3 linked regions of the Oryzias latipes genome follow. The protein of the gene in region 2 purifies or fractionates together with the protein of the main gene of each other region. This does not show direct contact. Links are inferred from orthologs where the notes say so. Each region holds a gene or a part of one and is shown on either strand. Other genes may lie near its edges. The genes, in order: gadd45a, map3k4 and gadd45b.

Evidence for each region.
Region 1: the proteins of map3k4 (region 2) and gadd45a purify together in Homo sapiens (co-immunoprecipitation; 3 studies listed by BioGRID and IntAct, with this or other methods). This does not show direct contact. The link is inferred for Oryzias latipes from reciprocal best matches to the Homo sapiens genes MAP3K4 and GADD45A.
Region 3: the proteins of map3k4 (region 2) and gadd45b purify together in Homo sapiens (co-immunoprecipitation; 3 studies listed by BioGRID and IntAct, counting the BioPlex papers as one, with this or other methods). This does not show direct contact. The link is inferred for Oryzias latipes from reciprocal best matches to the Homo sapiens genes MAP3K4 and GADD45B.

Annotation. Positions count from the first base shown.
Region 1 is NC_019875.2:6,098,444-6,102,341, forward strand, and holds gadd45a (growth arrest and DNA damage-inducible protein GADD45 alpha), read right to left. Parts: upstream 2,424-3,898; 5' UTR 2,066-2,423; intron 1,950-2,065; coding exon of another isoform or gene 1,949-1,949; coding exon 1,848-1,948; intron 1,760-1,847; coding exon 1,540-1,759; intron 1,349-1,539; coding exon 1,235-1,348; 3' UTR 603-1,234; downstream 1-602. UniProt on the Homo sapiens protein: In T-cells, functions as a regulator of p38 MAPKs by inhibiting p88 phosphorylation and activity.
Region 2 is NC_019873.2:25,298,135-25,301,784, forward strand, and holds part of map3k4 (mitogen-activated protein kinase kinase kinase 4), read left to right. Parts: coding exon 1-563; intron 564-799; coding exon 800-1,060; intron 1,061-2,457; coding exon 2,458-2,610; intron 2,611-3,608; coding exon 3,609-3,650. UniProt on the Homo sapiens protein: Component of a protein kinase signal transduction cascade. Activates the CSBP2, P38 and JNK MAPK pathways, but not the ERK pathway. Specifically phosphorylates and activates MAP2K4 and MAP2K6.
Region 3 is NC_019862.2:22,490,616-22,494,192, forward strand, and holds gadd45b (growth arrest and DNA damage-inducible protein GADD45 beta), read right to left. Parts: upstream 2,022-3,577; 5' UTR 1,818-2,021; coding exon 1,774-1,817; intron 1,654-1,773; coding exon 1,552-1,653; intron 1,467-1,551; coding exon 1,244-1,466; intron 1,148-1,243; coding exon 1,034-1,147; 3' UTR 570-1,033; downstream 1-569.

The sequences.
Region 1 (3,898 bases), on a different chromosome or scaffold from region 2:
CAGAGCAGGACCGGGAAATGCAGCAACTTCCCCCTCCCTCTCCTCTCGTGACTCCCGAGTTTCAAAGGGGTGGCCCGTCTTACATCAGCCGTATGACGCCGCCGCCCCCCCCCTCTGGAAAATCACCTGCCTGTGTGAGCACCGATGACACAGCAGGAAAGCGGAGGAGTGTGGGCGTGGCCTGAGCAGCTTTCACAATAGATGACACGCAGAAAGAAAGGTTCCAGGTGTTTCCAGGGATCTGCTCCTCAGTGAAGCTGCAAACGGCAGCAGGGAAACCCTCAGAGACCTGAGAACGAATGAGGAACTAGTTACCCATCCTAGTAACTAGTTACTAACCTGTGGCGCTCACTCACTACGGGGGAAACGAGAAGGCGAGGAAAAAGAGAAGCTGTTTGGATGAATGCACGGGTTCCTGCTGACCCAAGCAAAGCCCGTCCAGAGAGGGGCCGTGGATCATTGTCCTCTTTGGCTCAGAGCGGCACAGAGGCCACAGCGGCCGGCGTGACCCCGGGGATCTGCATGTGACGCCTTTTACAACTGCAGCTGCTGAAGCTCAGCGTTCGCCCCACAACCCAAAAACAGGGAAGAAGTCCAGGAAGTTCTTCCAAAAACGGCTTTTATTGACAGCAACACCTGTTCTGTATTCTAAACTTCAAATGGTAGAAAATACAACATAAATACATTTAAATAGAATTAAAATAACTTAAATTGTAACAAAGAAACTAGTTCATTTGTTGCAAAAACAGCAGGTAAATGAAACACTGAACACAAAGTCTTCCCTGAAGCCGTTTTCCTTCTTGAACAGGCTAAACTTCATGGTGAACAGGAGAAAACTGGAATCCTGTTGAAACGGCTGAAGGTCCAGTGTTTCACAAGTGCCTTGTGTCTGCAGAGGCCCGAGCCGGGGTCCACTCCCAGCTGCATGTTCTGGCTCAGACCCGCCCAGAGGCCCGTCTGTCCTCTGCCCAGCTTCACATTAAAGCGTTTATCGTCTCTAACTTGCGGCGACACCAGCGCGTCCACGGGTTATCTCGCTCATAAAGGCTGACGGTCGCTACTCCAAACAGAACTGCTCACAGAGGAAATCCCACCCTTCATTTTTTTAACTCTGACTTCCTCTTGCTTTGTGATTTTGTTCTTTTCCTCCAGAATTGGACCTTTTTGGATGGTACAATGTGTCCTTGGGGTTCACACCACTCCTGCTTTTAGGCAGGTCTTTGCCCCCGGCGGTTCACCGCTCGGGCAGATAGATGATTGGCACCCACTGGTCCATGCCCCGGCTCTCCCTGCAGAAGCGGCTGACTTTGCTCAGGGCGGGGTCTTTCCACGATGTTGAGTGTGGGCTCTGGAAAGAGGAGCGGGAACAGAATGAGTGTTTGCAGACGGGGCTGTGCATGTGAGCGTGCACGCACATCTCAGCTGAATAGACACATGAGGGCGGAGTCACGTGCCCGCATCAGAAGGGCAAGTACAGGCAAGTTCTCCTGTTGGTTTCGCTCACGTGGGCGTGCAGAACCCCCCAGTGACAGAACTTACACTGACAAGAACGCAGTGGAGGTCCAGAGGCTCCCCCCCACTCTGCTTCCCCCCTCCAGCCAGAATCTGCCCCAGGCGCCGGGTGCTGTTGACCCTCAGGATGTTGATGTCATTCTCGCAGCAGAAAGCCTGGATGAGTGTGAAGTGGATCTGCAGAGCCACGTCCTTCACGTCGTCCTCGTCCGTGGCCAGGACGCACAGAACCACGTTATCCGGGTCTCTGCGAACGAAAGCAGAAGTTTCAGAACCGGCCGGTCCCCCGTTTTCTGCCCCCCTCCAGCTGAGAGCCGCGGTCACGTCCTACTCACACGTTGAGAGATTTGGCAGCCTCGTACACACCGACAGTGATGGCGCCCTGAGGCAGCGCGGAGGTCAGAACTTCCTCCAGAGCTTTCGCTACCGAATCCATCCTGCAGAAAGACGACCGAGTTAGCGGTCAGGAACCGGGACACGTCCCGCCGGCCGGCGGCGTCGCTCCGACGGCAGCAAACAGACACAACCATCACAAACTAACTCCGCGACTTACTTTGAACACGAAAAGCTCCGAAAGAGTCCGAACCAGCGCCGGTTCGCACAGGAAGACCATTTCTCTGTTAGCTAATTACACCAGTGCGCTCGCGACCATTTCTCTGTTAGCTAGTTACACCAGACCAGTGCGCTCGTGACCATTTCTCTGTTAGCTCGTTACACCAGTGCGCTCGTGACCATTTCTCTGTTAGCCAGTTACACAAGTGCGCTCGCGACTGCCTGCAAAAGAGTTCCATTCAACTGTAAAAATAATAACGCCCTCTTCATCGTCAAAATTTCGTCATTTTTAATCGGAACAAACTCCTGCAGTCAAACGACAGGAACGAAACATTAATGTGTGTCGACAAAACTCATGATGTAGCGTATTTTTCTGTTACCTTTCCTGAGAATAGTCCCCGTTCAGTTCCTCAAACGTCATTCTGTACATTAAATCCAAACCCGTCGGTGTGACAAAGTGTCCCTGGAGTTTTCTGGGTCCAACGCACACAGACAAGCACTGACCCCGCTGCGGTGTAACTGACAGATACCTCTGGTAAGTTCACATTAAAACAGGTCGGGACAATGCGAGCCGGAGGACTCTTTGCATGTCTGCGGCGATTGGCTGAATGCAAACATCCCTGGCGTCTGATTGGACAGATGCTCGGAGGTGGGCGGGTCTTGTCCGGTGTAGTTACTACCGTAACTGCAGCTCTCTGACGGACAGTTGGGCAAAGTCTCTGATGGTTTTTCTCTGAAACCAGAGTAACCTGGTCCTGTTCGGAACGGACCTGTGGCGCTAAACGTCTTGTTGACTCTCCGCCATCTTTAAATCTTCCTGACTCCTCGCGCTGCCCGCCAGTGTCACGTTTCATCACAGAAAGTGACCTTTTGACAGATGAGCTGACCTGTGGCTCACATTCATCAGCAGAAAGGGTTCAACCTTTGCCGCAGGGCTGGACAGGGCAGGCCTCAGGGCTGGACAGGGCAGGCCTCAGGTCAGCTACAGGACAGCGGACCGCTACTTCAGAATCCTGCTCTCTGATTGGTTCGTTCAGGAGCGCTGCTTTTGAGCTCCAGATCTACAGTAAGGCAGTTTCTCCCACAGGTCTGTGGCCCCTGTTGGACTCTGTGGTTCTGCAGAGAGGCTGGTACCAAAAAGCCTGACTGCTCTTCAAGCTATGCATGGGGGGGGGGGGGGGGGGGGGGGTCCAAACACTTTGGGGTCTCCAAAACTCCCTGCAGGCTCAGACAACACTGTAAAAACTAACACTGCACATTGCTTAATTAAATCAGTGAAACATTTTTACACCTTAAAATATTGATATCAAAGCTCTCAAATCAGTCAAACACATGATTATTGAGCGAATCTGCTTAATATTTTCTATTCCGTTGCATTGAAGTGACTTGGCACCTCCTCCATACTTGGTGATGGTAGAGGCGTGGCTGCCAGTTCCCGCCTATGCCCCCTCTGACCATCACCGGGACACTCACACACATTCACATACCAGTGGAGCCACGCTGGAGGCAGGGAGGCGGGTCTTACCCAAGGACACAGCGATGGTTGACTGGGGAGAGCGGGGATCGAACCGCCGACTCTTTGATCATTGGACAACCTGCTCAACCGCCCAAATAAAAACAACTTCGAAAAGCACATTTTGAACATAGAGTGAACATGCAGGCATATCTCAACCTAGAGGACAAGGTTCAGCTGGTACTTGTTAAAACCGAGCCCGTTGAGTTGGCGACACCAGTTCAGTGGCCTTGTGGAAGAGTGTCTGCCCCGTGACTGGAAGGTTTTGAGTGCAAATCCAGGCCAAGTCATACCAACAACCCTAAAAATGGGACCCAGTGA
Region 2 (3,650 bases):
TACAGAAGGACTATGAAAAGTATGCTGCTCGAGACTTCCAAGGCAGGGTGCAGGCACTCTGTTTGTGGCTTAATATCACCCAGGACCTTAATCAGAAGCTGCGTGTAATGGCCACGGTGCTGGGCCTTCACGATCTCTCTCGCATTGGTTGGCCCGTCTTTGAGATCCCCTCCCCTCGCTGTTCTCACGGAAATGAAGAAGCAGAAACGGAAGAAGATGAGAACGACTCCACGGCCACTTTCACACCTGAAAGTGACGGCGAGGACCGAGACGTCGAGGAGGTTGAGGCAGACGTTGCACAGGGAGATTTGTCTCCCGTCCTGACTCCAAAATTTGCTCGATTATTGTCAGGAGACGAGTTTCTCCCGACCGCAGCTTCGGGAAATCCTGAAGCGACTGCGGGATGTGAAGCACTGTGTCCCACAGCCATTTACAGGCCGTTTGTGGATAAAGCTCTGAAACAGATGGGACTGCGTAAACTGATCCTCAGACTGCACAAACTAATGGACCGCTCTCTTCAGAGAGCCAGAGCAGCTCTGCTGCAGCAGATTCCTGCTCTGGAAGTAAGACTCAAACACTCAGTTAGCAGGTTATTTTAGATCATCCTGCTGTGAGCAGCTGTTTGAATGAATGCCAGAGAATATGTGTTCATTTGAATTTTATTCAGCTTCCAGTGAGAGGAAGACATCTCTTAAATATTAAATAATTCTTTTGTGTTTTATGGAGTCAATATTGTTTTAGTGGCAGACGGAAAAAGCGAGCAGAAACTCCAAGCTAACTCTCATTTTTATCTCTGCAGTTTGCTGACTTTCCAGATCCCATGCTGTACAGCGATTACTTGCCGGAGCTGTCTCGTCATGTGTCCTATAGCGATCCCACTGATCCAGAGCAAGGAGTGGATCAGGTGTCCAGGGAGGACTTGCTGGACATGGATCTCCCGTCCTTTCGTCCAGCATTCCTGGTGCTGTGCCGAGTCCTCCTCAATGTCATTCACGAATGCCTTAAACTAAGACTTGAACAGAGACCTGCTGGGGATCCGTCTCTGCTCAGTATAAAACAGGTAAGCAGCTCATCAAAGTCTTCATTTTTTTGGTTTCTTTGCACGTAATTAATCAGATTATTAGGCTGCAGGTGATCCATTTTTCCATCTCATGTTTGCTTTAATGTCTACTTCTTTAGTCAAGTAACAGTTTGCTTACTTAAGATTAGTATTTGACTTTAAATAACTTTATTTTCCAAAGAAAATTCATGGCTGTTGCAGTAACCAATTAGTAGGGCTTTGGATCGTTACTTAGGCGGCGATTCACTAATCGACATCAACGATTCACAGATCAAACCACAATTCTCACTTTCCATTATGTTTAAATGGTTTCATTATGCATTTCTCTATACGTAATGTACAAAAATTAATATAAAATCTATTTAAACACCATTTTTTTACAAAAGTTTTGAAGGAAATAAATGTATTACATGTAATGTACAGTTCCAGTAGATACATAAAAATTATGTCACTTTATGTAAGCTGACAACAGTGTTTACAACAGACATGTTTTATAAACCGACTTTTTTTCCCATCTTCAGTGAAAATGTCAGAACTACAAAACTTTAGATGAACATTTTGCAGATGTGTTCTGGTGCGGACTATCAGCCACGCTAGCATACACTCAAATTACGTCAAAAATCTGATCATGAGATTTTAAAGACCCTATTCGATTAAATTATAGATAGATAGATAGATAGAAAGATAGATATGATCTTGTGGCATTTTTCCAAAAGATTAAGAACACATGTAGAGAATATTAAGCCTTAAATAAGATTTCTGAGTATTTCTTTTTTCAAATCGTGAATGAGGAGCAGATGATAAAAGGTCTATTGAAAAAGATCATATTTGTGACATAAAAAATATGCTGGATATTCCAGAAGCTCCCTGTTCCTCTCCATTTTATTCAACCACTTACAGACAACAAACACAATTGTTGTTTTTTCTCGTCTGACTTGGCATTTGGCTCAAAACTGTATGGCTGGATAGCACTGATATTATTATATTACATTTCTGTTGCACTGGTAATGTTGTGAGAGGCTTTAAGCACTTAAGGGCTTTATTTCACAAAAATTAACTTCTGTCAATTGTTTTTTCATCTATGAACAACACTTGAGTGTTTTACTTAGAAAATGAGAACCTTCACCTACACTTAAGACTAAATATCTGTGGTTTAAGTGTATATACCTAAAATCCAGCATTATGTAGATTTAGAGCGATAATGAAGTACGTTTTTTTCTTCTATCCTTTACTGTATTTATAGATTTGCTCGCAAATCGGCTATCACGCACGTCATCGATATTTGCCCTCTGTTATTGTAGAACAGATTCTGAATATCCGAGTATTCGGATACTCGTTACAGCCCTACCCCTCGGTGCGTAGAATTGCCCTGACATGTATTGTTTGTCCCTCTGCAGTTGGTGCGTGAATGTAAAGAGGTTCTGAAAGGTGGCCTTCTGATGAAGCAGTATTATCAGTTCATGCTCCGAGGGGTGGCCACTGATGCTCAAGGCTTACAAACCAGTGCCAGCATAGATGAATTTGAAGAGGACCTTCACAAGATGTTGGTGGTAAGTCCTGCAACCGTCTCCACACCATTTAGATCAAGTTAACAAACCTAACAGAAGCAGTGAAATGGAAAGAAAAAGAAAAAGTTTAATTTTAAATGTATGGAGGATGAAGTGTACGTGCAATTTTGATGTAATCGCCATGTTTACTCTCACTAATTTCTGTTTGGGGTTGCAACTAAAAACATATCTTTTTAAAATAATTTCTGTGTTTTATCGTGTTTTACTGTGAAACACTTTGTAATTTTTATCTTGATAGGTGCTCTTCAAATAAAGTTTATTATTATCAACTGTTTGGTAAAGACGGAGGTCACCCTGGGCAGGTCGCCAGTCTATCAATATGGTCAAAATAAGAATCAGAAACAATCGCTTGGGGGAAAAAAGGATAACCTTGTGAATTAGTGGCACAGCAGACAGGCAGACTAGCTGACAGCATCTTATCTGGTGAGCCCAAGACAGCTTTGTCTTCTCCACTATCAGGATTCAAAGAAACTCGCACAACACTGATAAGTAATCATGACGAAGAATGATATACAAGAGACAGGAAGAGAGATTAGAATTCAGGGAGAGGTGATGGACTGTTCTTTGATTTCCAACAAAATCCACACAAGAGCTGGTCAGTTCATTTCCTGCACCGTGGTGACTTTCTGCAGCAGGGAGGTGGGAATGTTGGAGAACCTGAATCCCATACAGATAAGATGCCTGACATAACATCCAGACTTTGATGGATGCAGTCTGAAGCCTTCAGGCCTCAGAGTTGGTAGTTGGAAACCATGATGCAGCAGCTCGCGTTCACACCAGCCTGTTTTTACTAATCCAACACAACCCTGGATCTACATCATCCAGAGCTCCATCATTCCCAAATGTATATGTTGTGGAAAATCACTAAATAACTTCACACTTTCACAGAAATGTGAAAGTGTTGAGCAAGTTTATCATTGCTAAGTGTTAAAACTCTGAGTTGCACGCAAAAAGGAATCAAATTTCTGCTGTTTTTGTAGGTTTATTTTGAGTATATGCGCAGTTGGATCAAAATGCTGCAG
Region 3 (3,577 bases), on a different chromosome or scaffold from region 2:
CATTGATCTGCACCTTGTCCAGAAAAAACACGAGTTTTGCAAAAAGGTTTAAAAATATGAGGCTAAACCTAAAAAAGAAATCTGACTGAAAAAAATGCAGGATTTTTAGAAAGAAAGACTTGTCAATTGAGATTTTCTGTCCAATTGGTTACATTTTTGCCTTTTTTGATTCTAAGTCAACCTTTTTCTCCCTTAGACTACAGTAAAGTACAGTAGTGCACTCAGATTCTGGCTGTGACAAGCAGCTTTGATACTCTCAGCTTCTATCAACCTATTTTGTTTTAGACACAAATGTCAATATGTAAATAAATCCACAACGGTTTTTTTCTTTCTTTTTAAACACTAATAAAGCCATTAGCTACTTTTTTTAAACACCTGAAGTCATCCTTCTGGGTAAAGGGCCCCACTTTGCACCTGTAAGTCTCAACAATGACTAAACTATAAATGTAGTAACCTCTAAGTAATCTAGTAGAAAAACTTCTATATAATGTCTTCTCAGAGACTGCTCTGGGTCTAGAGAAGCAGAAAGTGACATCATACTCTTCACAAAAGGAAAAAAAAGGCAGAAATCACTGTTTGTTCAATGCATAATTTATTTAAATAAATGAGATTCAACATGTAGGTCCATTTTTTTCATATATTAATCTGTGCACTTAAATAACAGAAGGTTTCGTGCGTAAACAGGTGAGCAAGACACCTGGCTCTGTCCATTGCAGCTCCTCGTTCATGCATCGGTTCAGTCACGTGACGCCTCCGCTGTCGTCACCTCGTTTAAGAAAAAAAAAAAAAACTTGCAACGCTCCCTGACCCGGAGCCTCCAATCGCGCTCCTGGCGCGGCGGTTCAGCACCGACGCCATCATCCCACGCGCTCCCGTGATTCCGTCTAAAAGGCGGACTGAGGCTCGTCGAGCTCCCTTGGGGAGGAGAGTCGTGCTCCCCCTCTTCACCACGAGGGTCTTGGCTGTTCTCAGCTTCTTCTCACCGCTCCTCGGGCGGTAGGCAAAAGGCAAAAATGGAAAGGTTCAGTTGCGCTCAGCGGTCCTTCAGCTCCAAGCAGGGAACCCACAGGTTCCTGCAGCGGCTCTCTGCGCAGAAGCTGCTGACGTCCTGCAGAGCTTGACACTGGAGCGGCTGCACGGGGGGGTTCTGCAAACAGATGAAAGGGGGGGGGGTCATTTTCATGCTTCAACACGGTCCTGTGGATGCACTGAAAGTGGTGCGTTAAGTGAAGGAGAAACTTACAGTGACCAAGATGCAGTGCAAGTCCCGGGGCTCGTTCCCGTTGCTGTTCTCGGTGTCCTCCCCCAGCAGCTGCGCCAGGCGCCTCATGCCGGACACCCGGAGGATGTTGATGTCGTTATCGCAGCAGAAAGCCTGCAGCAGCGTGAAGTGGATCTGCAGCGCGATGTCGTCCGCGTCCTCCTCGTCGGTGGCGAGAAGACACAGAACCACACTGTCTGGATCTCTGCAGGAGCAAACAGAAGAAAGCCGGGTTAGCGCGCGCCTTTTGGAGCCATTTCAGACGCGTCTCGTGGAGAAGAAGAACTTACACATTCATGAGTTTGGCGGACTCGTAGACTCCCACTGTGAGGCAGTCCTGCCTCTGAGCCGCGACCAGCAACTCCTCCAGAGCCTGACTCACCGTCTCCATCCTGCAGAAAACAAGGAGGCGGTTAGAAACCGGGGCGCGCACTGCGTAACGCATCTCAAACAACACCGCTAAACTGCAACTAACGGAGAATTAGGGCAAAGACAGCTTTTCAGACACTTACTTTTTGTCGGTACTGCTGGATCCAACAACCTCCTCAAGAGTCATGCTGAAGTCAGTAAAATAATCCACAAGCTCCAGGATAAAAAACAGAATCCCCAGCGATGCTGAGACGCGTTTAGATCCAAAGGTAGAGTCCCGGCAAAACAAATGTAATCCAGATAGGTTTTTGATCGTTGTTCCGTCCGTGATTGAGTTCTTAGTCCGTGTTCTTAGTCTGTGTGAAGGTTTCTGTCCTCTTACAGTCGAAACTGTCCGCTTTTATAGGCGGATCGGCGCTTCTTGACGCGCCCAGACGCTTGCTCTCGCTGATTGGTTTCGCCGCAGATGGGGAGCGCAGCGATTGGTTGGGCGGGCGTCAACTGCCGGTGCTCCCACGTGGGTGGTTTCGGAGAATCCCCCGCTCTCAGCCCTCCTCCTCGTCGTATGTCTCCGTTCTCTCCACTAAGCGTGTTTACTGGGAGCTTTCGATCTGAGTGGAGGAATTTCCAGATCTTCCTGCTTCCTCTCACCAGAAACTTAGGGGGCTACAAAAAACAAAACTGCACAACCACCCAACGGTGCAGCACCTGCCTGAGGAAAGTCTCGAATTGGAATCAGATGATTTTCTTTTTTGTTTGAAAGCTTAGGACCATGGCAGGTGACTGCCCCGTGTCAGAGCACGAGCCCCAGCTTGTGTAACGGCAGCCCGGCGCTGCAAGTTGTGCAAGAGTGTTTTTTTTAACGCATACCAAATAACAGTAAAAGATCATGCTTTTTAATATTAGCAGAAGTGAAAAGTGTGGTTTTGATTTTTGCAAGTTCATTCTGCTTCTTAATACTCGCTCCTTACCGCCCCCCCCCCCTTAACCATTATCCCATTAATCTCCTTTCACCATGCAACTGCAATATGCAGAACCATCCAGAAAAACAGTCAAAAATAATAAATCAAACTGACTGCAGACTGTGCGTAAACTTACACTCAAGTGTTTCAGCAAGCTTGCATCACTCATGAGCTCCAGGTTTCATCAGAGCTTCCTGCCCCAACACACAGCTCTCGATCGCCCCCTAGCGGGGGAAAAGGAAATCTTGCAGGAAAAAAGTTTCTGCAAAACCAGTCTGGTTGCAGGAAGAAAGGGGAGGGGGGGGGATTCCTGGTGCTCCTCAGGGACTTGAAGGGGGCTTCTTACGTGGGAAATTTGCGCGAACTCGCAGGTTGTTTTATTTTTATTATTTTTTTAGGTGGCCTTTTAGGGAATTTCTGATTTGAGGTCCAGGATATAAAGCTTATCAAAAAGAAAAAAAGTGGGTTTCATTTCAGAGCGATAAGCATCTAAAACTATTTCAAAGACGTTGTTAACTGAATTAAACACAAATGACTGGAGATGCCCCTTAAAAACATAAATCTGGAAGACTGAAAACGAAAATAACTGCACAGGTTTATTGAGTGAACAAACTTCATGCACAAGGAGTCAGTTTTTACTTAAAATATTGTGATTTATAGTAATTTTCTTTAATATTTCAACATTAGTTCTTAAACATTTCCAGCCAAAGTGTTTTTCTTATCTTTAAATCTTCTATTGTTAACATGTTTTTCAATAAAACCCTCATTAAAACCCTATTTTACTTTCTTGTGTATGTATTTATATATTTCTGTGAAATTTAATTCAGTTAATGCTTAAAAATAATAAATTGTAAAATACAAGTGGCCCTCTGCAGCTTTTGCTGGGTTCTGGTGTCATTGCGCCATCTGGTGGTCTTATATAATATTTTCCCAATTCCTAATATGAAACTGTTTAGGAAAACGGTTAATGCAACGGAATTAAATA